2 linked regions of the Kluyveromyces lactis genome follow. The protein of the gene in region 1 purifies or fractionates together with the protein of each later gene. This does not show direct contact. Links are inferred from orthologs where the notes say so. Each region holds a gene or a part of one and is shown in the gene's direction. Other genes may lie near its edges.

The links.
Region 2: the proteins of COX6 (region 1) and RIP1 purify together in Saccharomyces cerevisiae (affinity purification with mass spectrometry; 4 studies listed by BioGRID, with this or other methods). This does not show direct contact. The link is inferred for Kluyveromyces lactis from reciprocal best matches to the Saccharomyces cerevisiae genes COX6 and RIP1.

Annotation. Positions count from the first base shown.
Region 1 is NC_006042.1:2,029,914-2,043,429, reverse strand, and holds COX6 (cytochrome c oxidase subunit VI), read left to right. Parts: upstream 1-6,365; coding exon 6,366-6,809; downstream 6,810-13,516. Other genes in the region: dolichyl-phosphate-mannose-protein mannosyltransferase PMT6, read right to left, coding at 1-774; YPP1 (Ypp1p), read right to left, coding at 1,120-3,279; TMA22 (Tma22p), read right to left, coding at 3,712-4,314; ELF1 (Elf1p), read right to left, coding at 7,747-8,262; CIC1 (Cic1p), read left to right, coding at 9,165-10,295; KLLA0_F21824g (transcription activator GCR1-like domain-containing protein), read left to right, coding at 10,881-11,711; KLLA0_F21802g (MATE family efflux transporter), read right to left, coding at 11,911-13,516. UniProt on the Saccharomyces cerevisiae protein: Component of the cytochrome c oxidase, the last enzyme in the mitochondrial electron transport chain which drives oxidative phosphorylation.
Region 2 is NC_006041.1:2,005,422-2,022,120, forward strand, and holds RIP1 (ubiquinol--cytochrome-c reductase catalytic subunit RIP1), read left to right. Parts: upstream 1-8,750; coding exon 8,751-9,392; downstream 9,393-16,699. Other genes in the region: ribosome biogenesis protein URB2, read left to right, coding at 1-1,816; GEF1 (Gef1p), read right to left, coding at 1,866-4,136; RNA binding protein SNU13, read left to right, coding at 4,741-5,121; putative E3 ubiquitin-protein ligase HUL4, read left to right, coding at 5,579-7,999; KLLA0_E22595g (uncharacterized protein), read right to left, coding at 10,517-12,547; DNA-dependent ATPase RAD26, read right to left, coding at 12,827-15,928. UniProt on the Saccharomyces cerevisiae protein: Component of the ubiquinol-cytochrome c oxidoreductase, a multisubunit transmembrane complex that is part of the mitochondrial electron transport chain which drives oxidative phosphorylation.

The DNA of each region.
Region 1 (13,516 bases):
GCCCACTAGAGCTGTGATTAGAAGACCAACCCACTTGACTGAACATACGCATCCAATGGAGAAACCAGTGGCCAGAATCCAAGCCAGCCATTTCACAGTAAGTTGACACTCTCTTAACCTATAAAGCTGCGATAAACAATAGAAGGTAAGAACAGTAAAGAACAGTAACATGGAATCCAATAGCACGAATTTACCCAAAACAATATATGAGTGTTCGAAACAAACCATTAAGGCTACGAGATAAACGGTTGGCATACTAAAATTAAGATTCCTGGCTGCATAGAATGCTAAGGGTGTGCACAGTGAGCTAAATATAGCATTGAATTGCCTCATAATCTTGAAATTTACCTCATCGGGATAACTAGAGTTGGAACTAAAGTCAAAGTTACCATCAAATCCCGCGAGGTATTCACCTAAACCTATCAACATCTTGCCCAATGGTGGATGCACATCATGGTAGAACTCATGCTTTAAATAATATGATCCAAATTTCCCAAAATGAGCCTCGTCCCAGACAACGATGTTGCTTCTGTCAATCTTGTAGAACCGAAGCACGAAAGATACCAGTGTTAGTAATAAGCAAACATATGTGTGAAATCGGTGGTTTCTGTTGGAAAATATTGAAGATTTCAATGGCTTCACCAGCTTATCCTCTACAGGTTCATTATCTCTTAAGAAGTCCTCTAAAACCTCTGTACCATCGAATTGTGCTTTTCTTTCTCTCAATCGCAAGTCTGAAGAGTTCGGTAAAAATCCAGATGATTTAGAAACCATTATTACCCTTGGACGAACCACTTGCCCTTCCTGTATAAAGGGTAACCTATTGCGCTTTCCAATTCATTAAAGGATGCCCAGGTATCATTTCTGCTTCTTTCCCGAGATCTTGGACACGGTCCATCCGTAGATATATCAACATCGAAAACGAAATTAGCCTTCTCGATAAGTCAGGTGACTAGACAAGCTTGGGTAAAATTTAGCGTGTCATACATAATTCAACTCAGTATATTCTATAGTCACAATATAAATCTATATACTAGAATGTAATATGTTATACTTCAGCTGCCACAGTGGAAATATTATGGATATCAGAACACTTGGATGAGGTAAATTGAAAGAATATCAGAAATTACAGAACTTGAATTCGCGAACGGGTTGAAGTTCTTCGTACTTGATGCATCGCCATAGCGCCTCCTGTTGTCTGGTAGAATCAGAATATATTTCGTATATTTTTGATAGATACCACCACACTGCAGATGTTTGATAACCTTCTATCGATTTATCGACTAGTTCTTCGAATAAGAACTTAAGTCTGGCTACAGCAGAAGAAGTTTCGAGTGACGTGGCAGAATTTCTATGTAGCTCCTTTTGGTTTATTTTGGAGTTATGCTTGAGATCCGTATCCAGGTTTGCCTCTTCATCAGGAAGCACGATTTTTGCCAAACCGATCAATGCCTCGACAGATGTAGAGTCATAGTGCAAAACTTTTTCGAATTCCGCTGTCGCTTTTTCAGAGTGACCATGTGTATACAACACGAATCCTTGTGCGAGGTTGTGGTTCAAATTAACATATTTTGAAGTTACGTTCTTAAACTCATCTAACGCAGCCTTTACATTTTCGATATCGTCATTTTCCAGGTATAATTCCAATGCAAACAACCAAATCTTCTGCAATAGATAGTCGTTACTCTGATTGATTTGAGGACCAAGGGGTTCTGAAGCATCTGAAAAGAGACGCTGATAAAGTTCGAATACCTCTGGCAAAATTTCAAGTGCATCTTCAAGTGCAAACATGTCTCTAACTAGTTGAAGTTGAGTTAATTTAATGTGAATAAACTGCCATTTTTCATCAATTGTGAATTGCCTGCCTTCATCGAAAAGTTCACACATTGATTGAATGACAGAATTGATAATTTTGAAACTTACTTGTAAATCTTCATTGATGCAGGATTCACATAACGCAAGAAGATGCCAACTAGCGAAATGTTCTGGATGAAGTGTTAATATTTGTTTTTTTAGATAAGCGATGCATTGGTCAATTTGTCTTAATGTAGCCAAATGATAAGCGAACTTAAACTTTAATGACACAGAAGCGTTCAAAGACGTTTGCAAAGAATTCGATAGGTAAAATATCTGACTGTGATCTACCAAGGCTGGGAGAGAAGAAGCGCTAGTTTCGTATAACGTTTCCCATGAACTGGATAGAACAGAAGCTGTTGATGAGGCTAGACATAAGTCCAATACATCTGAGCTGCCTTCTAGTGCCTTTTGTTTTTCTATAATAGGGATACTGTACTTGTTGTGAATTCTTTCTAGCAACTTTAAGAAATCGGATGATACGTTTGCTGGCATGAAGAACGGTTCAAATGGCGTTTTACATGTAGACAGAATGAATTGGTACGATGAAACTAAGTCTAATAAGTCAGGATACCTTTTGTTAAGTTCGTAATATTTGTTTGAATAATTGACCAAATTGGTAAAGTTTAGAATGCTCCTCTTTAGATCGACCTTTCGATAAAAGAGCATTGCTGATTTTGCAACCGAAATACTTTGGAAACTTTTTTCCATACTATCAATGATAAATTGCTCCCATTCTTTCTTCACATTTAAATTATTTATTTTGAGATGCTCTTGTAGGACCATGTGGAATTGTTCTAGTTCAAAATTATTTGATTCATCAGCATTAGGGAAACGACTTTTCTTCAATAATGAATGGCTATAAGATAGAAGATTTGAGTCAGTTGCAGAACCATTAAGGGTCAAAAGCATCCATTGGAATGGTGTTTTTGGCTTAAAATGAGAGAGGTCCAGCCCTTTTATTATTGCCTGCAAATAATGCCAAGTTAAGCCATCAGAATATTTCGGAATAGTCCAGCTTTCAGAGGAAAACTCAGCTAAGTCGACATTTCCCTTATAAAATAGCCTTTCCAAATCTAGCATTCTTCCAAATCTATCGTATCCATTAACGCTGCCTAACTTCTTAGAGACGTACTGCAACCCCTTTTCCTTTTCATCAAGTTCACAGAAAACAATACCATAGATATTGTCCGCAATTGCACAGTGTAATTCATCCTTTAGAACGGGCAACTTCTCCACTTCAGATAAAAGGGCCGACAGTGCACTGAATTTTGTCTTTGTAGAAATGTTTATGTGATAATGGGCTCTATAATGAAGAGATAATAATTGATCCAGCAAAGCATCTGACGATTGAAAAACGCTTGAACCAATTAGTCGAGAATCTAAAGCATGATTCACCGAATCATCAATGTATCCTCTGGTCATAGTACAATTGACTTCCGAATGCTTCCGTGATTCAACCAATTGGTAAGCAAATACAAGAGTGCTCAGTGTATTACTCAAGGCTCTTTCTCTTGTTTACTCTCTGTGCTCGGTGAAAATAGCTTTTAGTTTATTTTACATTTTGACATGTTTCCTCACCATCTAACGGTGCATAATGGAAGTGGAAGTGAAGAAAAAGTGATCTTACCCGGATATTCTTTTGTAAGGTATTGCCCTTCCTCACCATGGGAGTATATTTATGGGAACCTAATAGCTACTACAGTTATTATATATGAGGGTATAGATATAGCATCTTACTGATGTTTAATTGTGCAGTTTGTTGAACGATGAATGCGGTATTATATAAATCTTTCTACCTAAGAGGCTAACATAAAGTTATGACAAAAGGGTGTCAGCTAAATGTGCTTCTCATAATCATTTCTTATTTTCGGATCCTGGTGTAGTTGTAGTTTCAGCTTTTTTCTTCTTCTTCGCGGCATCGATTACTTCTACCTTAACTTCTTTCATACCTTTTTCCTCTAGTAAAGAATGTATATATGCTTCTACTTCATCTGCCAAATCACCTTGAACAATCACTTCTTCTTTCTTCTCGGCATTTTTGGAGATAGAACAACCTGTAGCAAATTTGGATGCAAAAGTTTTGGAAAGTTTCTTCATGTCAATTTCGAAAACTTCTAGTCCAGAGATAGCAATCATACACTTCCGTTTTGTTCTTGCTTCTCTTCTGATCACAACTTTAGACGATAATTTCTTAGCCAATTCTCTTTCCTCTCTAGCCTGTTGTTTTCTTTCTAGTTTCTCTAGGGCCTTTTCAAGCTTCTCCTCTCTTTCATCACCAATAGATGATTCTGCCAATTGTTTAGACACATCTTCAGTGACATCGCCATACCATTTGGTGTACAATTCTGGGTGGTTTTCTTGTAACCAAGCTTTACAACGTTTGAATTTACCGGAAAATTCACAGTATTCAGCAGGAAAGTCACACACACCACAGTATATAACGTTAGTGAGAGGCATTCTGTATATTCTTCTGTCTCTTTAATTAATTCTAACGTATAAATCTCAAACTGAATCAAGCGTAACTTAATTACACGTAATGTTATTCTGAACACACCTCATCTCATGCATTAGTGATTTTCTGTTTCAATATTTTTTTCAATATTTCACTGTAAAGATCGATTCACTTTCTTCAGTAACTACGTAATCTACTACTTACATATACTAAGTGTTTACTTAGACATGCACAAATAGCGGCGAACTTTGGTTACACTCACACTGAATACACTTCTTTGGAATGGCAACGTATGATGATTTTGCTACTGATACTGTAATAATAACGTCAAAGACAAAGGACGTGTGCTCCAAGCCCTTGTTTGATGAGATCGTAAATAAGGTGCAAGAATGTGTGGTGGATACTCGACAGATTTACGGTGCGGATGCCGTGCGTGTCATTACACTTCCTGGATTCAAGAGAATATTGGTAACATCGCCTAATATTGAGGCGAGCCGTGAAGTGAAATCCTTGAACCCATTATTCCCTGATTGTAAATTTGGGTTCTCCATCACGAATCACGTGGCTGAATCGAATTCACAAGCTGGATTTCCACACGCTGGCGCTGACACTGTGATGAATCACCTTAAAGTTCCCCCTGCCCAGACATTATTTCTAGTGTCTCCGCCAGCGTCACCTCCTCCGGGATTTGATTACTCTAGGCTTGAAGAATGGCCTAATCGTAACACGGGACATGAAGAGGCTGGTGCAGGTATCGACGATGATTCAAAACCTGCTGTTCGAAAAGTGTTTGACAATGGACATACCCGAATAATAGTTGAGGGGTCTACAAACTCTGAACCAAACCATACGGCTTTGATGCAACATATCAAGACCGCGATGCCACCTATCTCAACGTTTGACGATATAGAGGATTAACTATCGCGTTTAGAGACATAATAACCCGCAGTTTTCTGCGGAGATGAGGGATCGAACAGGGGAACCTGCCTACCGAGAAAAAAAAAACCTTTGAAACCACGCGACTTCCGGGTAATTGTATTTGTATTGAAGTCACGTTCTCCCGCTGTCCTATTACCCGACTATGTGGTAAAAATCATCGGTGACGAACCAATCATATGCCAATACGTTCTCCTTCCCCACAAACAAGACACCCTACAGAACGGTCGGACCAGTCTCAATCAATGCCCATTACCCCCCAGCATATTTCACGAATGTGTTTTATTGGATTCTATAGATACTGCTTGTGGGGTTTATTATCACGGACTTATTATCTTGTTTTATAGGACATTATTTCGAAGATTATGAGAGTTAAGGTTTCATTTCCTTTGAACATGAGATCTTTAATCTGACATCGCTCGACTGAAAAATGACAGGCAGCAGAAAGTCAAGAAATACTCAATTCAAATAATTAAAATCGAACTAGATAAACGACTTGCTCGTAAGTACCACATGTAGGATTTTTTGGAGTGTGAACTTTTGTTGCAACTCTGCCGATGAATTATGTTAGCCCTCTTTTTTTCTTCCATCCATTTTCCATAGACACACTATTTAAAAAACTGATAATACCACTTTTTTGTAAACTACTAAGAAGATGATGCATACAAAGAATAAGATACAATAAAAGTTGTTTCGAATGGAACGACTCACTCGAGGTTCAAATTTGTGCTATTCGTTTCGCAAGTTATTACTCTTACTTTCCTTTTAACAATCTCGTTTTTATCTAGTTCAAAGACGTAGCTATCCACTAGTTTAAGTATTTGAACTGTTTGTTGATATTTGTCCTATGCGATTTTAAGTATTTAATTTTTTTTTTTTCATTCTTCATTACTTCAAATTTTTAAAAAAACTCCAGAGAAAATTATCGGTCGATTTACCTTTTACCTAACCTATTTGATATATCTTTAAAGCGTTTTACATTAAGTTTTAATTACAATAGAACTCGACTTTGAATCTTTTGTGAATACGGTTTGTTATAATTCCTTTTAGAATAGCTATTTGATCATCTTAATACAGTGAATCAAATCCAAATCCCGAATCAACCAATACAAAGAAAAATATGTTGTCCAGAACTTTGTTGAGAGCTGCTATGCCAGTAAGAGCCGTTGCTCCGGTTATGATGAGAGCTGCTGTTGCCCCAAGAGTTGGTCAATTACAATCTCAATTTGTTTCTATCAGAAAGTACTCCGATGCACACGAAGAAGAAACCTTTGAAGAATTCACCGCCAGATACGAAAAGGAATTCGAAGAGGCTTACGATTTATTCGAAGTCCAAAGAGTGTTGAATAACTGTTTCTCTTACGATTTGGTTCCAGCCCCAGCTGTTATCGAAAAGGCCTTGAGAGCCGCCAGAAAGGTTAACGACTTGCCAACTGCTGTCAGAGTGTTCGAAGCCTTGAGATACAAAGTTGAAAACGAAGATCAATACAAGGCTTACTTGGATGAATTGAAGGATGTTAGAGAAGAATTGGGAATTCCTTTGAAGGAGGAATTGTTCCAATAAGTGCATATAGAAGAACATTTAATCTAAAGTCACCGGCTTTATCATCTTCTCCCATACTATTTTCACTTTTTGAGAACCTTTCACTAGGAAGGAAAGAACAATACTTATCCACAACACCAACAACCAAATGAAACCAAAATAAATATCATCAAAAACTATATTTACGAACGTGTCCCATCCTATGACACCATATATTCTTGTCACACATTTGTTTGTTTGAGGAGGTTTTTTTGGTGCTGACTACTGGTAGTAGCAGATACGAAGACATTATTTATTTGCCAGGACATATACAGAACCGTGAATACAAACCTTCAAGAAACATTTACAAACAATTCAAATAAAATCAAGATTATTATTATTATTATTATTATCATCATCATCACAATTATTATAATTATATATATGTTATACTGACTAAATTATAAGGAAAAGTAGTTATATATCAAACAAACAGCTATTAACATACGCGTTTAGTCTATTTAGCGGTAGACAGAAAAATGTGCTCTTTTGTTTTCACTTGATCGTATGTTAGGTTATTGCACCGTTACGAGCAGAAGTAATTTTATCTTGTTTGAATTCATACAACTGAAGTTTTCGAGTTTTGTTATCTCGTGTATCACCATCTAGTTCAGAAATAATGCCACATTACTGAGAAGTTCGATATACCAAAGATACTATTATTGATGTAGAATTGATATATAAATTCTTCTGCAGTACAAACTGAATACTATCAACCGATGGTTAAAGCCAAGGTGAGCGTTATATAAATTCTTATAGGAAACAGATAAGATCCAGCAATCTCTTTGAACGTAAATATCAGCTCCTTTATACCTGATTTTATTCGTTCTACTAGTATATCTCTGGGTAATATATAGATAGATAGATACAATTGTAAGATTAATATTGGTGTTCGATGTCTGTGTTTCTGTCGGTTCGACTACTCGTCATCACTGTCCATCCATGCTGCTCTTCCTCTTTTGTTAGATATTTTACCGTCATCGTCTGAGTCTGATTCTGGTTCTGAGTCTTTTCGTTCGGTCGCTCCTTTTCTTCCGTAATCCGCATCTTCGTCTTCTTCTTGTTCTTCTTCTTCTTCTTCGTCAGAATCTATTCCAACAGCTTTTCTACGGTTTGAAGAAGGCTCAGTATCAGAGTCACTCTCGTAGTCACTGTCACTGTTTTCATCTTCAGATTCGCTATGTTTCCCTTCGTTAACTTCCTCAACCGCATCAAACCAGTCACTATATACATCTACCGGTTGTGATAGACCATTAATGCGGGTTTGGAACGATTGTCCACAAATCTTACAATGAAGCGAGCCAATGTTATTCTTTTTGTCCATTGTTACGCTCACAGAGCGTTCGTGATTACAGAAGAGACAATTGAATGCCGTATCTAACCTCTGTACTATCTTCTTGGCTGGACCTCTGGATGACTTCTTTCTCTTACCCATGTCTAATGCTCTTCTTATTTGTCTTGTGAGAGCGTATGCTTACCCCTGCGGCTAGATTTGATTAATATATGCTAATATGCCTTTTGCAGTATAAATGAACGGGGACGATGACTATGTTTACGATATAATAATAATAATAATAATAATAGCAACTTAATAACTCATAAATCAGATTCGTGCGGCGTATTCTCTGTTAAGGTATCCTTTATATCGATCGTGAGTCCTGTTTGACAGCCGAAAAAACCTAACTCAAAAATAGTACTGTTCCGAAATAAACCAGAGAAAGAAACCCTAAAATACACAGTTTAAGCCCTTTTGTATTGTAACCCCATTCACTGAACGTAGCCCGTTGCTCATTAGTAACTTTTGCACAAACACGCACCGAGATTCAATATCAGATTCGGTTACTCTTTATTTCTTAAGTGTCAAATGTTATCAAATTTCAAGAAAAGTTTCAAATCATATATTACGGCCTTCGCTTTCAAAAAGCAATATTTACTAACTACGTGAACACAGTGGAGCTCCTGCGAAACAGAAAATTTTTATTTTTGACAATAGAGAGCTCATCTCATCATAGCTCATCTCATCTCATCTCGAAGTATGTTGCACACCTAACACGATTAATAAAGTAATGGTATGTAAAGTATTTAAGTACCTATTCTTATTTCTCAGCTCAAAGGATTGATTAGATATATACTGGATATTTCATAGTTGCCAGTACGAACTCGAGAAGTAAGCTTACCTAGGTGAACCAACAATTTGTTGATCTTTTTCTGAGACAGTGCGAATCAAGTAAGTTAAAAAACGCTTGGAAAGAATCCAGAATATAGAGGAAATAACTCCACTCATCCAGTCTAGTATATCTACAAGCACATTATAAGCAATATCAAAGTTTAGATAATATGGCAACTAAAACTAAGAAAAGCAAGGTTTCGACCAAAGCCACCAAGGCTACTAAGGGCAGTAAAGAGGAAGAAGTCATTCCAGTTAACAGAGTTAACAATGCTGTTATTAAATTGCAAGAATATTTGAAGGAAAATGGATCAAATGACAATCAGTTAATTGATGATTCTGAATTGGAGGCTCAGCTACAGTTGATCCTAGTCAACACTGAATCTTTTACTGGTTCTTTGAAAAACTTCAAACCAAAACTAATTACAGTTCCTCATTCTATCTTCAAGCCATGGAAGGAAGCTAGCACCACCATGGTTAAAGATTTCAAGACTCTTTTGATTCTAAAAGATTCTGATATCAATTCAGTGACATCAGAAGACTTGATCGATCTACTTCCAGAACATATTACTATTGATGCCATCATATCTGGTAAAGATTTGAAGACAAAATACAAGGCTTTTGAAAAGAGGCGTGCATTTGTACAGGATTTTTCTTTCATTCTAGCTGATGACTCGATAGTGACAGCTTTGCCCAAGCTATTAGGTGGTAAAGCATACAGTAAGTTGAATACCACTCCAATTGCCATTAACACAAGATCGGATAACAAGTTTAACAAGACAACTTTGGTAAATAGCATCAAGAGAATTTATGATACTAAAATCCCAGTCAAACTTCCAAGAGGTAACACGATGAATGTTCATCTAGGTTCATTGGAATGGTTCACCCCAGAACAATTGACTGAAAATATCATTTCTGTCGCTAAACAGTTCATCGAAAAGTACAATATCAGAACCATTCTTCTCAAATCTAACGAATCACCAGTCCTTCCATTATACGTTAATTTGGAAGTATTAGACAAATTGGTTGGGTCCAGACATGATGCTAAGACTTCCGTTCAAAATGTCATAGAAATTGATGGTGTCGAATTGCAACTATCACAATTTGAGAAATCTTTGTTAGAAATTGCAAATCCAGACGAACTAGACTCCTTGTTTGCTACGCAAATTAAGCAAGCCAAAAGAAACTTGGAAGAGGTCGAGGCAGAAGAAGAGCAAGAAGAACAAAAGAAAGAGCAAACGAAAGAACAAAAATCCAGCGCTAAAAGACAAAAGACAAAGAATAAAAACGTAAAAAATTAGAGGTACAGGAGTATCGCGTTTTTTTTCATTCCTCTTTCTTAATTTCTATCCTTCACAAATATCGTCTTAAAACTTACCCATTTAGCATAGATTTAACGGCTGTCACCGCTCCTACAATGATAGTTTTCCCTACAAAATGTATTTAATCTGTACTCAAATTTTCCAGATAGCATCGATACTTTGCAATTCATAAAAGAATAACAGTAGTTAAATTCAGTGCGTTTTCGAACCAGCAGGAAAACGTTATTCCTAGTATTGTTTGGATGGTGCAAACCCATCGCCGCTCGAACAACTTTTCTGATGTGCCACATTTAGGTTTGCTGGTTTTTCTGTGTGGACTGGTGCGTCCATGCAGTCAGTGAAGGAAAAGGAAAAACGAAAAATAAAAGTGTCACAAAAAGATTTAATTACTATATTAAACATATGTCAAATATTATATAAACCACAGATTTCACAAACTTTCACATCATCACCTCTGTTATTCGTGCTTATTCGTAGTTTAGTATATACACTATTATTTACATCTGAATCAATTAGTATTTTCAAGTTTTGATTGCATTGCGAAGACGCCGAGAATCAAATGAGATGCCACAGAATATTGAACGAATAATTCATACATTCCAAAGCAGAGTAGACACTTTACAAACTGATTGGAACGTTTTATGCGACGCAGTGTGTAATAGCAAGTGTCAAAGTGTCAATGGTCAAATTGCCCTGTTAAAATCTAAGTTAGATTTAATACAACAACAGCATACTGGGATTATTGTTGATTTAGGAATCATTAAAACACATCTTTTAGCTCATGATTTGGATATGAATAACCAGTTTTTAACCGAGGAACAAGAAGTGGATTTTGACGTAAATAAAGAGAATGAAGATCCTCTACCTCTACTTGGAATTGATGAGACTGAAGCTGACATTTCGGAAGGGCCAAAAGTTTTCAAAGAAGAATTTAAAAATGAAATTCTTTTCAGTAGTCTCAGCAGAGAAGCGGAGAACGCATCGCGAGAAATGCCATCAAGGTACAAGGTAGCGAAATCACAACACTCGAGCAAAATCAGACCTCTCGGCGCAAAAGATCTGAACAATGTTGAGAACTATCACCTTATAATGACAGATTGTCCCAAAAGCGTCCATGACCTTTACCACGAGTTTTATACAGATACAAAGCTTCAGATCTTGCATTTCGAGGAGAAACATGGTGCAGGTCAATTGTCTAAATTACCCAAGTTGAGAACTTATCAGCGCCGCAGCGCATTGGTGAATGCTATCAACAAATATGCAAAGGGCAAAAATATAACCGTTGAGCAATCCATCGAACACTTCCAAGGTATTGTTGAGGAAAATGATAAAACCATACCATGGTTATATAATAATTTAGCCAAAATTTTGGAACAGTATGGTATTGTACAATAAAATGATTAGCAAACAGCTGACAACTCAATCCTTCAACTAGAAGATGTACTGTTAAATCTTTTATATCTAAACAACAAAAAAATAAACAGATAATGATATATGAAAAGTTCAATATAAGATGCATTGAATGGGGTTTACCTTCTTCCTAATTTATTAATGTACGATGGTATTTAGTCGATATGTGGTCTTTTCAGAGACGTTATACCATGGCACCTTCGCTATTTCTAGACTTTGCTGCACGGATAATATCATTCCAATTACAATGAAATACAGCATAGCTTTGGAAAATGCTCATGAAAACTAAACCAGAAGTGATACCCCACCATAATCCACTAACACCAAATCCGTAATGAAATGTTAGCAAATATGATACTGGGATACCTATGCAGTAAAATGCAAAAACGTTGATGTATCCTCCTATCTTTTGTTGGCCTTGGCCTCTCAAACAACCTGCAGTTGAAGCATTAAATGCATCAAAAATTTGCATGAAGGCCAAGATTGGTAACGAACTAGAAACCAATCTGACAACATCGGGTTCTGAGGAAAAAAGCCTTGCTATTAGGTATCTAGCTTTGTAAATCATTGCCATATTCAACGAACTAATAATAAACGATAGTAATAATGACACTTTGCAAGTAATTACGCAGCTTCGATACAAGGACGCACCAATGAAGTTTGCAACTCTAGTCGATGTCGAAATTGAAATTGAAAAGGGGACTTGATAGGCAAGAGAAGCGATAGTCGAAATAATTGATTGAGCGGCTAATTCATGGGTACCTAAATGAGATGCGAAAATAGTCAAAATTTCAAAACCCAAAAACTCAGCTTCAACCATGATAATACCAGGCAGTGCTAAGTTGAACATCTTTCGTGAATTCTTCAAAATTTGATGCGGTTTGATAAATCCATTCCAACATTTCATGGGATTTTTTTCATTTTTCGTGTATAAAGTGTAAGCAAACAACCCAAGAGCCATTAACCAATAATTCAATACTACACTAATAGGTGCACCAAGATATCCTATTCCAATATTTTTATCCCACACTAAAACATAGTTCATCAATGCATTAAGGGGAGCACAAACGAGAAGGACAATACTGGAAGCGTGGAAGATTCCTTGACACTGTAAGAATCTTTTACCACATTCAAATAGGATAAAGGCTGGAATCCCCAGAGAAACAATTTGAAGATATTTTGCAGCTAAGGCACATAGTTCTCTTTCTGGAATGAATAATGCAAGTATCTGTTCAGACCATTGCCACCATGTGAAGAGAACAGGTAGAGAAAGAATGATCGTGATAATTGCACATCTTTGAAACAACACACCAACTAAGTGATAGTGGTTACCACCGTAAGCTTGGGCACAAAGTGTGTCTAAACAAGTACAGAGCCCTTGGATGGCAGCAAACCCAGTGATACTCGCTGTCATAGATCCTAGGGTAACAGCTCCTAATTCATTGCTTCCCAAATGTGAAACGGAAAAAATTGATGCTAAAGATAAAGAGTTTTGTAAAATGAAAGTCAGTACAAGAGGTGATGCATTAGATGTTATCACTATGGCCTCTCTCTTAAATGTGGTATTTATGTCTTTCCCTGATTCAATTGCATCCTCCCAAGTTTCAATCACTTCTTGATCCTCGATTGATGATGTTGGTGCAAAGGAAGAGTTTGGATCATTTGTTGAATATGCAGCATGATTATGAAGAGCATGATTAGAATTGTACAGCTTATTGTCCATCAATAGATCCCGTTCTTCTCGTATTAGATTTTTCGGTAAGGCGGAATGAATCTCACTACTATCACTG
Region 2 (16,699 bases), on another chromosome or scaffold:
TATTCTACAGACCCTTTTAACGCGTTGGTCAACTCTCGTCGATTCATCATTCGGAAATAAGAACATATCACACCTGATCGAAAAACTACTTCAAAATCACATCGATATTTTGCCTGTGCTATTCGCTGAAGAGGATTTTTTTGAAGAGTCTAACATTGTTCGTTCGATAGTGGTTCACTTGACAGCCGATGTTAATTCTAACCTTCATCTGAAGTATTTATTGGAAATTCCAATTCAATGTTTGAATAAGGCTGTAAGATTGGCAATCCTAGACCAAATAATAGAGAAGGATGTTTTGAAAGAGGATGACATAAATGTTCTTTGTCATGTTTTGAAAAACCCTACCTCGAGGAGCAAAATAGAAACCGATTATAAAACAATGCTCACGTTTGTCGGCAATTCATTCTTCAAATATAGCTTGGAAAATCCGGTTATTGCAGCCGTTTGGCAGAGTGCACTGCTTCAAAGAAACGACAACAAAGCATCTTCATCCATGGATTCTCTATTACAAAGCATTCAGGCAAATTTGAATCATACCTTTGATTATAACACTTATGCCTTGTTGCATCTGGTACTCAAAACATGCGATGAATCAGGGTTGCATTTAGATGCTCTTAAGGTTAAGTTCATCAATAGTTTGATTTACAATATTCAGCATTTCAACGGAGATTTCAAATTACTTGCATGGCTGCTCAAGGTTTTGTTCATTCAAGCAAGTAACTCTAAAACAACAATTCCTGTTCCACCGTTATTTTCGAAGGCATCCGCCATTCCTTCTGACATTGAAGTTCAATCGGCATATTTTATGGTATCAACACTAAATTACAATGATAATATTGAATATCTTCTAGCGCAGTATCTTATCTTAAGAGAAAATGGAGTGTCTAAAGAGATGTTATTACAGGCAATAAAATTGAACATATCCAAGAGAATTATTAATAACGATGAAGACTTCAATACAGCATTCGAAACGATCTGCAATACTATGCCTGTACTATCAACAAGCAACTCCGGAGCAGTATTGGAGCTGCTACAGTTATTCATCCACTTTGTTTCAAAACAGAATAGTAGTGGAAGGCATATTTTTGTCAAATCAATTTCACACCTTTTAACAAACTACTCTACTAGCATTATAGACAGAAAAGATATTATATCTTTCATTACCTTTCTGAATGATCTGCTGGTGGCCAAACCGTTTTTATTCACACAGTACTGTTCAGAAATGCTTTTCCCACTAACATCCAAGATTCTTTTGGATAACATAATCAAAGCAGCTGATACACCCGATCAGAGAGAGATCAAAAATAAGATTCCATACTCTAAAAATGACCTGATTTTTTCCTGCACACATATGCTCTCTTCATTGCTATTATTTCATCGTTATAAGTTATCCAATCGTACTCATTTGATCAACATTGTTATCTGCCAATTACTGGAGTTACTATCAGATGCTAAGCAATACGCTCTATCGGTTGAATCAGCGAAAGCAGTATCAAGATTCATATGTAACTATTGTGAGCCTGCAAATGTGAGAAGCAGTAAGCAGACGACATTGTCCTCGGCTGTTTCTAATGTTAAAAGATCGCTAAGAAAGAATCTGCCAGTTGTTCTTCTACAATTCATCAAATTATCAGTTTCAAAACCATATCCCACCACGATAAAGAAAGAGTTGATGCTCGCAGTATACGCTATTTTTGATCTTCTGTCGCAGACTGAAATGAACTTGCTTAATGCTAGCTTGGACAGTAACGGCAGATCATATTTCAAGACATTACATGCGGACTACAAGAAAAGTGGCAAATGGCATGATGATTGAAAAGTGGCAAATGGCATGATGATTGAAAAGTCCTAATCATTTTATAAAGTTATGTTCTTCTACATTTATCTATATACCATTCAATTAGTCGTATTGCCTTCCTATCAATTCTATCATCAAACGCATATAGAGGACCAAAGTATTCTTTATGTTTAATTCTCATGAAATGCAAGACATCTTTCTTAGTGACTAATCCGGCCATGGTTCCGCCATTCTCTACTATAATAGTTGAGCAGCCCAATTTCTGGAACATCATGAAAAGTATACTCAACGGAGTAGACGGACTAACAGTAATCGGGGTATAATTGATTTTTGATGTTAACGATTCATCTCCACATTTTCTGAAATCAATGATATCGTCGGGAGATCCAGTAGTGGCATCTAAGAAATAGCGAGCGTACTTTGTTAATATAAAGCCAGAGCATGTCGAATCACCTTTGGAACAGCTGCTGGTGATCGGAAGACCGCTAAATTCGGCTGCTGGTCCATCTATCAAATTTTGCAGATCTTGACGAGTCATTTTTTCATTCACGTAGACTAGTTCTTTCGTCATGATGTCATCTGCATAAAAGTCATCCATGAATTCGTGATCCCCTTTCTGCTCTTCCATCAATGGGAATCCATTAACTATAATCATTTGGTCAGCAATTCCTCCCTCGGCACCAAAGGAGGAACAGATAATTCTAGTGAAAGCAACAACTACCATGGTAGGAAGAATATACGTAAATGCACCCGTGACCTCAAACATGATCACCACCACTGTTAGAGTTAGATTTGTTATACCACTTAATGCTGCAGTTGCACCAAGGAAAGCATAAGTTCCCGGTGTAATGACATTTGGTCCAGTAATATAACGCTCTACTATTAAACTTACAGCCCTTCCAAAAGTTGCACCAACAGCCATTGAGGGAACAAAAATTCCGGCAGGTACTCTACAGCCGTACGAAGCAACGATTAGCAGGGCTCGCACTACAGTTGCAAAGAGTAACGAAAGCAATAAATTGATGAACGAGATGAATGAGGCCTCGTTGTCAATTGTACAAAGTCTATGCGACCATAATGATCCTTTCTCATTAGTTTGACACTCATGAAATAAAATTTCCATAGATTCTGTCATGTCAAGTTTCAAGAACTCGTTGAAATAAGAGATAATGGCAGTAACAAACGTTAGTATGACAACTTCCTGTAACGGCCATCTTGAGAGATATTTCTTTCTAAAAGAAACGTAATGCACATTCCATCTGCTTATGTATTTGCCATATAAACCACCAAAAATTCCAAGAAGGATGAATATTGGGATTTCTTCCACATGCCATTCTCTATCATAGGTGACTTCAAAAACAACGATCTTACCATTTCTAGATGGATCAATATATTGTAGAGCAGAAATACCTGCCAGAGCAATATAATACGACTTCCACAAGGCAGATAACTTGAAAGGAATAGAAGCTGACATCTCTTCAAGTGCAAATAAGACACCTCCAATAGGTGCACCAAAAGCTACTGCAACACCACCTGCCGTCGAAGCTGTCAAGTATTCGGATTGTTCTGGGAAGGCCATCTCCTTGCTCAAGAGCCAATTAGTAATTACATAACCACAACAGGTAGCATAGTGAACAGATGGTCCCTCTTTACCAACACTTAAATCAGAAGAAATGGCAAGCGGTAAAGCGACAGATTTTACTATAAGGGTCTTCAAATTCAAAAACTCCGGGGTATATTGGAAACCTGATACCCAGGATTTAATTTCTGAAATACCAGATCCAGTGGCAAACGGTGCAATGTGTAGGACCATCAGACAACTAATAGTTGCAAATGTGACCGATAAGAACATGAATAGCAAAAATGAAAAGATTGGATTGGTTGCTTCTACCCAAATACCTTTTTCGATACATTCGCTTTGGGATCTTTTAAAGAATATTTCTGCGGCATTGCCAGCCGAACTTATTATGGAACCATAACTCCTTTTACTGATCTCTTCTTTAGGACAGCAGAATGCCTTGTTTAACAACCAATTTCTAGCACAATGTCCAGATTTCCAGTTTACTAACAATTCAGTGAATATTTGTAAAAAACCAGCAATACCGCCAATGGAAAGCCCAATGGCAGTCAAAGTAATGAAACTGCTACCTCTTTTCCATATTAACCTGCGGTACTCATACCAACTCGAACGCGGTATATCAAATTCGTCATGCGATGTTCCCTTGGACAATTCACGCTTCTCTTCCTCAATCCAATCCACAGAAGTGAACTTATCGAAATTACCGACTTCTGGTATATTTCGCAGAGCCTGCTCCTCATTTACCTCTTGGTCAGTCATAGCTAGCTATTGCTCATCAATTGGGTCATACCTAAGTCAAGGGCAATACTATGAGTTTATTCATAAATGAGTTGATAAATTTACATATTGTAATACGTACATTTTTCAATACAAAGAAATATGCACCTTTGAAATTAGGTAAAGAACTGAGAGTGAAAGCAGCTCTTCCTGGGGAAGTATGAAGCATACGATGGGGAACAACAACTACAGACTGCGTGTTTTAGACCATAATAGAGTACTATAGCAATGGCGGAGAATGGCCAAATGATCACAATAGGAGGAATGTATATCGTTCTTCTGAATTAATATAGTGAAACAGCCGTACATTACACCAGTTTGTGATCCCATTTGTTTCTTTTTGCTCATCAGTCGAGGAATTCGAAAATTTTCAAAAATTGAAAAACTAAAGAAAATGATTTCAAGAGACTAACCTCATCTCATCTCGTTCCATCTCATCTCACTTTATGATAAAACTTTTTTTAGACTTGGACTTGATCCGATCTTATTTCTAGTCTTAAAACACCAGATTCAAGCGAGCTTTTCATTCTTGCAAGGAACTTGAACTGACCCAATCGGATACTTCACTTCATATTATAAAGAAATAATGTCTGCTCCAAACCCAAAGGCTTTCCCATTGGCTGATGCCACCTTGTCCCAACAAATCTTGGATGTTGTTCAACAAGCTTCCAACATGAGACAATTGAAGAAGGGTGCTAACGAAGCTACCAAGACTTTGAACCGTGGTATTTCCGAATTCATTATCATGGCTGCTGACTGTGAACCTATTGAAATCTTGTTGCACTTGCCATTGTTGTGTGAAGATAAGAACGTTCCATACGTCTTTGTTCCATCCAGAACTGCTTTGGGTAGAGCTTGTGGTGTTTCCAGACCAGTTATTGCTGCTTCTATTACCACTAACGATGCTTCTGCTATCAAAAGCCAAATCTATGCCGTTAAGGACAAGATTGAAACTTTGTTGATTTAAGAAGGATTTGCACATTTCGTGATTTCCTTTTCTTATTCTTTATATCAATCGTTTAAGGAGTTAACCGCTTTGTGGGGGGTTTGCATAGCAAAGAAAAGATTTACTGCACGTTCATTGATTCAAGTGATCGACAGGTAGATTTTTTTTTTACGACCTCTGTATATTAAACATATATATTACAATTAATACAACTTTTTGATACATTTGCATCCTTCTTAACAATGACATCAACATCTGATGGTTCTAGTTAGTGGTCAGTACATAGTTTTTTTTTGTCTGTTCAAATTAAGAAATGGTTACAGGCCTGTGTATTCCAGATGATATTGTCAGTTGGTAAAAAAAAGTAATAAATTTGACACAATCTTTTGTGCTTTCGACTATCCAACCCTAAATTTACAAGTTTGTTGAAATGAACTTAGAGGAAGAAGTCTGACTGTCCATCAGTAGCTGCTCGAATATGTTCAAGTTTAACCCATTACACATTGTTGGTAGGGAAAAGATAAAAATCCGCTATCAAAGTTCGGATAGGTTGGATTGTGAAGACCCGCCAAAATTTAGGGAAACTCGATGTAGATGTTGCGGAACCTTGTTACGACATCCTATAGACGCAGTTAAGTTCAAATGTACAATATGTGAGGTGACTGTTGTTTTGAGACAAACAGCAAATTCTAGGGATACTGAGGGCAAGATACTGCCGGACCTTGAACAGTTATCCAATATAGTTGGTCAATGTCTCGAATCGTATAAGAAAGATCAGACAGGAGATGAGACCCCCGCTAAAGAGCTTAACAGCTACTTCATTCCTGTGGAAAAATACATTGTTCAAAAATTCGGTACAGCGGAAGCTTTGAATCAATTATTCAAACCAACTGTTAAAGATCAAATTATAAACTACGAAAAAGCAGTGACATTTTATAATTTGATAGGCTCATTGCCTACCAAAAGACCCATTTATCTCATTTTACGTGTCTTTAATGAGGTTTTGAAAAGGCCAAAGATCCTAATGGATAAATGGGAGCACTATTTATTCATTTTTTTCATCTTGGAGGTACCTTCTTTAAGGCAATGTATTAACAACAGTACTACAATTTCTAGAACACCCAAGATTAAGACTTTAAGTTACGAAATATTAAAAAGATGTATTGGTTACTTGGGGTCAATGAATAGTAAAGTTTCGGTGAAATATAAGAATCACTTAGTTCGTTTACATCCATTGAAATTTCAAAAGCAATGGGAAATTTTAAACTTGTATTTGAGTTATCAGTTCCAGAAAATAGGACCCGGTCCGCCGCATTCACCACGAGGATTATCAGGAACGTTGTTAACTGAATCATCGCCTGTGGATGAAACCAAAGATGGAACTGTATCTTATCTTTTCCACCCCGGAAGGCAAAAGATACCGTTAGAGAGCAGGTTCAGAATTGAAAAATACGGACTTGACTGGCATATTCGCACGGTGTGTCAGCTAATGAACATATACTTTCAAGCTCATTGTGAACAGCCAAAATGTGACATCTCGGTTTTTTACAATATGATAATTGATTTCATTGATTACAAACGTGATTTTATGATGTGGCATAAGATGAATAGAGAGCAATGGAGGACCCTTGACGATTTATCCATGACACAGTTACATGAAACGCACTATACTGCCTTATGCCAGTACCCTTTTTTGATGTCCTTAGGCGTTAAGATAGCCATAATGGAGTTCGAAACTGGGAAAATGATGGAACATAACGCTGAGCAAGCGTTCTTAAAGGCGTTGGACTCTCGTAAACTTTACGATGTACATTTCCGAATAAAGGTAAGACGAAGCCATGTGACACAGGATTCGCTAACGTCCATTCAACGACATCCACATGATTTGAAAAAATCCCTAAGAGTGGAGTTCTCGAATGAGCCTGGAATCGATGCTGGCGGTTTAAAGAAAGAATGGTTCCTTTTATTGACTAGGGAATTGTTTCATCCAAACCATGGACTATTTCAATACGTGGAAGAAAGCCGATTATCTTGGTTTGCATATGGGAACACCGGTCTTAAGCTTCATGGAGAGAACAACAATGAACTATACTATTTGTTTGGAGTAGTGTTAGGTCTTGCAATATATAACAGTACTATATTGGACTTACATTTTGCGAGGGCCATGTACAAGAAACTATGCAATGAGCGGATCACTTTTGAAGATTATGAGGAGTTGTACCCTGAGACAGCAAGAAATTTAAAGAAAATGTTGAGTTATTCGGAACTAGATTTTAGTGATATATTTGGATTGTCGTTTGAGACCACGTATTACGATGTAGCCAGTGGTATCAACGTCACGAAACCGTTATGTGACGGAGGAGAATCAATCCCAGTAACCTCGGAGAATAAGACAGAGTTTGTTGAAAGGTGGGTAAATTTTTATATGAATGAGGGGGTCTCATCGAGTTTTAGTGCATTCCAATCCGGGTTTACAAGAGTCATCGGGGATGGTTTGGCTTTCCCGATGTTCAAAAGTTGTGAAGTAGAAAGGCTCATCTGTGGCAGCATAGAACAAGACATGGATTTCGAACAACTTCGCGCTGTGACGAAATACCAAGGCGGATTCCATAACCAAACCCCGGTAGTGGAATGGCTATGGGAAATACTACCACAATTATCCCATGAACAGCAACGTCAATTTCTCCATTTCGTGACTGGGAGTGACAGAGTTCCAGTGACGGGACTTGCGACGCTTCCGTTCAAGGTAACCCGCACAACGTCCGGATCACATGATCAGTTGCCCACTGCCCATACCTGTTTCAACGAACTCTGCTTGTACGAATATGAGTCACGTGATACTCTTCTTCTGCGATTGGTGACTGCCCTCGAAATGTATGAGGGTTATGGGTTTAAATAATGTCAGCAACAAACATACATTAATATAATCACTACAAACGAACCAATCATATCGTGAACCAGGCTTTACAGAAAAACCTGCTTCCCTTGAATAACCAGAAAACACAAGGAAATGGACACTTACAGCTACTATGTGAAAGCCGTTAAATGCGAAGCGTTTTACTGACACTAGGCCCAAAGGCCCTAGTGTCAGTTATCATTTCCACCAAGAAAATCTTCCTATACTTGACCATTTACGCAAATAAAATTGTATACTTGTAAATTGGAAAATAATAACCACACCAGGAAGTTCTGCCTCGTCCCAGCTCATTTACACTGTCCATTCCTGTCTGGTCGAATTATATCTTGTTTAATCCTTTAGCGCTTCTTACTATTGGCTTTTTTCCCAATCTGAAATTTTTCTTTGTTTTTTTTTTTTTTGCTTCCTTCCGCACTTATTAAGCTGCAATGGCTTCTGTTTAATATGGATAGAGATAATTTGATAATTTCTCTGAATAAAATAAAATAGAAAAAGATTTAGTACAATCATTTTATTATTACTTTCAGTTCCAACAACATTTTTGCATTGATATATATATTTTATAATCTGGCTTGGTGATTCATATCTGTGTATATATTTATTGATACTCCGAGAGTGCTTTGCTGTTGTGATTAAAGTCGATATCATAGAAACGATTTCTCCGAAATAAGAACGGGAAATTAGTACGAATAATACACTCTAGCGATATATCCATAACTAACTAATATCAAAAATGTTGGGTTTAAGAAACGGTTTGAAGACTGGTTTGAAGTCTGTTGCTCCAGCCAGATTAATTTCTACTTCTGCAGTTGCTGCCAAGTCTACTTACAGAACTCCAGATTTCGGAGACTATATCAAGGAGAATAACGATGCTGACAAAGGTCGTTCTTATGCTTACTTTATGGTTGGTTCTTTAGGTTTGTTGTCCTCTGCCGGTGCCAAATCCACCGTTGAAACTTTCATCGCTTCTATGTCTGCATCTGCAGATGTTTTGGCTATGGCTAAGGTCGAAGTCAACTTGGCTGCTATTCCAGAAGGTAAAAATGTCGTTGTGAAATGGCAAGGTAAGCCAGTTTTCATCAGACACAGAACCGACCATGAGATTCAAGAAGCTAACAGTGTTGATATGTCAGCTTTGAAGGATCCTCAAACTGATTCTGACAGAGTTCAAAAGCCAGAATGGTTAGTCATGTTGGGTATCTGTACTCATTTGGGTTGTGTTCCTATCGGTGAATCTGGTGATTTCGGTGGTTGGTTCTGTCCATGTCACGGTTCCCATTACGATATCTCCGGTAGAATCAGAAAGGGTCCAGCTCCATTGAACTTGGAAATCCCTCAATATGAATTCGATGGTGAAAACTTGATTGTCGGTTAAGCGCAGAAGGAAAGCTAAAAAAAGATTATATTATGTTGATAAATTGTTGAAATAGGCTACCTTTTTTTGCTATTTCTCAAATTTAACTCTCTTCCTTTTTCTCTTTCTCTTTGTCCTTCTCACTCCAGCTTTCACTAATAAAATTCTTTATTCCCATGTTGATGTCTCCTACTCCCCCCATGTATTTTCCAAGTAGGATTCACAACCAAGGTCAATATCTTTTATGCTAAAGTTTGTCATATTGGAATCGTGTAAGCTCGTTTTTTCACGTTCCATCATCACTACCCGATTTATTATTATTTATTCATACAAACATTTTTGAAACCACAACTACCCGTGCCCCCATAGCTCAAGCAAACTAAAAGGATAGCAAGCATGAAATGCTTTTGAAGCATTGTTCAATTGTATGTCATCACTTTTCCTTTTAACTGCACTGAGAAACAATCGCATTAATACCTGAATGACCACATCAGGCTACTACCGTGATTGAAACCCTTTTATTATATTCCAAAATCTTTGAAATAGTCCTGCTCTACCCGATGCATGGTTATACCTACAATCTGAATCGCTTAATGTTGTATCGCCTTCTTTTCCATAAAAGGTCAGACACGTATTTAAAGAAAAGCGGGAGTATTGGATTAATCTGTCAATAGTAACTTTAACCTTTGATTTCCCTTTTTCAACGAGATTTAGGCCTAGGAACAATGCATTGGTATTGCAATGGGATGTCATTATTTCGCTTTTAATTTGCCTATTTTCCCGCTAATCACGAGAAAAATAAATTCAATTAATCAATCCTATACTCTTAAGATGTCTCAAAAACTGTTAACCCAAACCATAAAAACCTAAAAAAATCTCTTCCAACCAAAATATTTTACCATAAGAATAGAGAAATTGACGAACAATTAATTTAAATTGAGATTACCTTTCTCTCTAGGGATTCAAATTTTTTATCATATTAAGGTTTGTTTCCTGTTATTTATATACTCTGTTAACGATGCCAAGATTATATATTATATGTATATGTATATTCCCCACATACTCTTTTAAAAGAAATGAACAAATTTAATCCATTTGAACGCCGAAAATTGGGAACCCTTGAAAAATCCAGTGCTGTTTGTAGACTAAAGTTCTGGGTTAGCTTCTAACAAGCTTTCAAGATCATCTGGAATTCGCTGCCAATTTTCTCGATCCCATTCGGTTAGCATATCACACATCTCTTTTCTTATTTTGTTGATATCCCTTTTCTGACAATTGCACCCGTCATTGACACTATCAGGAGGCAGCAATGGTTCTGAATCAAGTCCAGGGTATGATATCAAAGATGAAGTCAACGAAGATCTGACCATAACTTTCTTCTTCGTTTCACCGTTCTTCCTCTTTGGAAGGGATATCTTTTCATGCTGCTCAATTAAATCTACGCAATAATCTGGCAAATTCTTCGGTTTGTAATCGTTGACAAGCTTTATCCTCCAGTAAACTGACCAATGAAGTTCGCCATATTCAGGTATATTCCGTCTTCTACCAAAATTTGGCACGTAAACGTTTTTCCATTCACACTTTTCGTTTTCGATTCTTATTCCTATTGGAATCAATTCAGCAATCCACCAAAAAATCACCCTAAAGATACTCACATTTCCACTTCCATCATTTTTTTTTTGACGACCGATGTCCTTCCCTGGTTCATCAGTATCAAAACCTTGCTCAAGATCAGAACAACTAGATGGTGATTCCGTTTTCCAGTTAAACGTTCTGAAGTAAACGTTCTCTGTTTTATGACGCCACGGTAACCAACTTCTCTTTGATGGCAGTTTGAAGCCGTGGTATCTATTAATTTGATCTTCATCATATTCATTAGTCTCTTTTTTGTGAAATGGGTTTTTCATAGTAAGATTGCTCTTTTTGAAACTCAAAAGATCGTGCGATGCTGACAATAAGCTTCCAGCAGATGTATATTTGCCAGCAAATTCATGGATGATTCCTTTTTTAAAAAGTACTCCGGATTTGATCGCTTCTGAGAGAATCCATCTTAGAGACATATCACTTAAAAAATGATTTTTCTCAGTGATATCCGGTGGCCAACTCCCACCAATATCTGAGTGATCGCCTGGAAACCACTTCTCTATTAGATCCGATGATGTCCTTTTACTATCAAAAGTACCATGGGGAGAGTCCACCTCGAATATACCTTCAACTCTCTGGTTCACGAAATTATCTGTTCTTTGGGAATGTTCCAGCTCTAGGAAATTGTTGATTCGGGATATTAGTTCTTGTACGGACTTACTAGATTGTGATTGTGATGAATTAGGTCTTGAGCCAATGGTATGATTTATAAATTGGTTACTGGTACTGTGATAGTTTGTTTTCGGGGCAACATTCTCATATTCTATGACATAATTTCTATAGTTCAACGAAAATAAATTTGGTCTATAAGGATTAGGGGAAAACGACTGTTGTTTGAACTTCCCTCTTCTTTCGTCAATGCTAACCGCATGTCTGATGTGACGAACGATGCCGCTCCTAGCTGTATAGGGAAAGAGCCGATCTAAAAGTATACCACAAGAATTCACCGAATCAAAGAGGCCTTGAAAATGTATTTCGATCTCAATATTTCTTGAAAACGTTTTCTTAAATTCATCCACCAAAGTAGTCGCATAACTCGGTTGTACGGGCTGTGCAGCGTATTCCCAGGCTTCATATATTTTCCAAGCCATCCATATCATTTCATCTAGTCCAACGTTTAGAAGTCCAACCATTTCCAGCATTCCAGCTAGTACCCTTGCTATGAACGCACCTCTGCTGAACCCGAACATAAATATTTTGTCTCCGGGTTCGTAGTGGTGCATTAAATACAGGTAAGCAGTCATAATATGATGATCCAAACTGTAGGCAACAGCAGAATCAATAGCCGTCTTCAATTTCTTCCAAGTAACCAAACCACCAAAACCAGCTTGTGCATCATACTCCAACGAACTACCGATGCCTGGTTGGTAATAACAAATCTGCCTTTCATAATCAGAGCCATCAAGCATCCGATAAAGCTTCAATACATTGCTGAAGGGGTTGGGGCCGAAAGTATTATCCGTTCCATCAAAACAAAGTATTATATTTTTACTGGTGGTACTCTGACCAGTGCCCAAAGAGGATGATGCCATTGAATTTCTAAGAAAAGCATAGAAGAGCTATGCTATTTTTTTTGGCACTTTTTTCGGCTTGATGTCTCGAAATACTAGGTTTATATACAGAAGCTGCTCGAGCTGGTGTATCGAGCGCCACATATTACATCCAATGCTGTATGATCTTTTGTGTCAGTGGCATCAAAAAGAAAAAAAATATCTTTCGTTACCCGCATTTGTGACAGAAATTTCACTCAATCTGAATGAGGAAGCCAGCATAGATAGAAGAGAATTCAAGGGTGCTACAAAGGTAAATGTTTAATCGGTATCTCTATTAGCTGATTTAAGTACCCAAACTTTCTTTAACTTATCAAATACTGCGACATCTTTTAAGATTTTCCGAACACGTTCTACGTCGGTTGAGTTTGTTAGCTGTAATCCGACTCTAATCACTAGATCTGCTGATTTGCTCGCAAACCCTGGTGACTGAGATAGATATTTTTCAATGGACGCTTTGAGTACCTCGGCGCTCTTCTCGTCCTTCTGTGTAGCATCTGATTGAATGTCCTCTCTTTTAATTTTCTCCCGCTCTAACGTATCCCGGTTCAATTTTCTTGCAAACTTGCTGTCATTTGTAGATAATGCAGTCCTACTCTTTCTTATTTTACCTGCCCTACCGAATTTACCAGTCCAAGTCGGAGTGCCAACATCAAACCTTTTAGTTTGTTTCCGTGAGTTTTTTAATGCATCAAGTGCAGATTTGACGTTACGAGTAGCTTCTGCCCCAATGATATCATCTCTCTCGTTAGTATCAACGCTATTTGCTGAAGAAAATAAGCTACCCATGATTCTGTCGTCTTCGGTGCTCTGCTTCTCATCTTGTTCTTTAGAGTTGAAAAATCCCTCCAATTTGTGAACACCCGAAATCTGCGAAAGTTTATCAAAATCGTCCGTCTCCGAAGTCTTGTTCTGCTTTATATTACCCGTTTGTTTAACAATTTCTTGATTGAATTCTTCTGTTTCATATCCATTATCTCCTCCTAGAGTGAATAGATCGTGTAAATCATTCATTTTGAAAAAACGCTTTTGTTTGGGATCTTTCAAGATTTTATTTGATAAAAACTGCTTAAAGATCTGTCTGTGATAAATCTTCTCCTCAATACTGCCTGCAATCATTAATCTATAAATAGTGACCTCCCTCTTTTGACCGATCCTCCACGCACGTTCTCTGGCTTGCATATCAGTAGATGGATTCCAGTCCGGATCAAAAATTATAATCCTATTTGCCCCTGTTAAATTAATACCGAGTCCGCCTACTCTTGTTGTAAGTAAGAATACGTCATAAGGTTCGTTGTTGAATTTATCCACCAATGATTGACGAGATCCGATGTTAGTCGTACCATCCATCCTTAAAAATTTAAGATCTGATAGTTCAGGGTCTTTGTAACTGATGAATTCTTGTAGAATATCCAACATTTGTCGGGATTGAGTGAATAGAAGAGTTTTGTGACCCTGTGAATGCCATAGTAGTAACAACTGCTTTACTACTTGCATTTTGCCTGATCTTGCTGGATTGCCGTAATCCGCGTCTTCATAATCGTTCATTTTCTTTCGTTTTAAATCCAATAAGTCCGGGTGGTTACAGATTTTTCTTAATATATCAATACCATATAGAACCTGCCTTTTCCCTTTCCTTATTTTCATGAGCTCGTCAGAGTGGAGGAATTCTAAGTACTTCGATTTTTGGTACTGTGTTAGCTTGCAGAAAAGAACCATTTCATTTTTCTTTGGTAAGTCCTTAGCAACATCACTCTTTACTCTTCTTAATAAATAAGGGGAAATCAAATCTCTGAGAGCAACAGCGCACTTATAACCAGTTTTCACTTGTATATTTGAAGCGTTGGCATAGCCACCCATGTTGATAGGATTAGCAAACTGTTGTTGGAATACAGGAAGAGTCCCAAGTTTTCCTGGATAGACGAAATCGAAAAGGGACCATAATTCTGTCAAGTTGTTCTGAATTGGTGTCCCTGAAAGAATAATTCTGTTCTGTGTCTTTAGCTGCTTGCATGTCAAAGAGATATCTGAATCAGGATTACGAATCTTATGTCCTTCATCCAAAATAGCATAACCCCACCTTACATTCAGTAGCGCTTCAGAATGTAATCTTAAACCAACATACGTCGTTATAATAATGTGACCATCCGTGATCACTTTTTCTAAAAGCTTTTTGACACTTTTTCTCGATTCAAGTGAAGTCCGCGTTTTCTCTTTTTTCTCATAGTCATTATATGTAAACGTTCCGTAATTTGAAGTCATCAACATCTTCTCTAGTTCCTCTTCTGGAATCTGTGTACCTTTATTCATACCGGCACCAATTGAATGTAGAATTACAGCTCTAAAAGGTGGCCACCAAGTATGGAATTCGTTACACCATTGTTTCATCACAGTTGCGGGACAAACGACAAGTACAGGGCCATTCAATTTTCGGGAGTGGTGCAAAGTGGCAAGAAATGCAATAATTTGAATCGTTTTACCTAGTCCCATCTCATCTCCTATTATGCCACCGCATCCTTGTTGATAAAGCTCACATAGCCATTGCACACATGTTTTTTGATAGGGAAATAGCAAAGGGAATATATCACCAGGTACCATGAAATCTTCACTGATATTGGCGTCTGAAATTTTTGGATGTGGTTTCAACCATTCTGGAATATCCGGTTGGTTATCGTAATCGCGATCTTTACTTCTATTGGCTACCCACTTCTTTAATCTTTGTTGATAATGATGCTCGTCACCGTCATCAATAGCCTCTGCAGGTTTACGAATTACATCGAGTTTCCCAGCTGATTCGTTTAAAAGTTCTTCTGAATCACTTATAAAATCAGCCTCGTCTTCACTTTGATCTTCTTCCTCGTCAATGTTCTTTAACATTTGTCGTTCAGCTAGTAAGATTGATTTAGATTCTTCTTCGTCTTCTACCTTAAAATTCACACTATTTCCGAACCCTGTGATTTTACCGGTCCTCAACAAGAAATCTCTTTCCGACTCACCAGGTTGTCTCTCTGTAGATTTTGTAGTCGTATCGGCCTCATTAGTCTCTTTCAAACCTTTAATTCTTTCTTTGATTTCAGCAATATCCTGCTCTAAGGGTTTTAATTCATAATTCTCGACATCTTCAATCTGCTCTTTCAACTTAGCACGAACACTAATCCTACTGGCGTTGTAACGTTTACTTAACAAGCTGTCCCGTTTCTGTCGAAGGATATCCCGCTTGTTTGTGTACCTCTCTAGAAGCTTTTCTTCTTGCTCCAATGTCTGTTTACTAATCATATTATTAGCATTATTCTCTATTTCTTGTTCTAATGATGTCTGAGACATCATTTGAACCTTCAACCCACCTAAATTGTCACCGCTCATTGTTGATGGTTGTTGGTTTTCAAATGCGTACCCAAATATCTTCTGGCACTCTTTACTGTTGTATGGTTTTTGTATATGTTTTACTCATCGCAGGAATGGTGCATTATTAAATCATATCTCAGGATTTAATGATTCAATTTTTCAGGTAAAACGTTAGTGGAAGTCTCAACGCTCGAGACGATAAAACAAGAAGTAAAAAAAACTAGAGTCAATGGGCTCGGTGATATTAATCCCGAAATGGCCTTTCAGGGCGTGCCTTCAACCCATCATCTTATATAATTTTTCCCTATTCCCTCTTATATAATGATCAAGCGCGGCAAATTTAAAAAAATTCGGGGCGAGCTGGGAATTGAACCCAGGGCCTCTCGCATGCTTTGCAGTAGTTAAACCTCGTTTAACGAGGTTTGGCTAAGCTATTAACCCAAAGCGAGAATCATACCACTAGACCACACGCCCTAATAATTGTTGAGGACTTAGTTTCAGAAATAATCGACCTACCTCTAGGAGCTTGTAAGGTGTTTATATTTTGATATAACCTTCCCAGAACTAGGAGCCTATTCACGAAAATAGCACTTGCATATTATCATGTCACTCTATTCCATACTGCAATATATCTCAACTTAACAACCCTCGGGTTAACCTGAGACAATTTCCGGGTTTTCTTGCAGGCGAGTATGAAATGAAAATATGGCTATTAGTTAAATATATGCATACCGATACGTATATTAATCGAGTGTTTTCCTAATGTCAATCTTCTTGTGTGGTAAATTT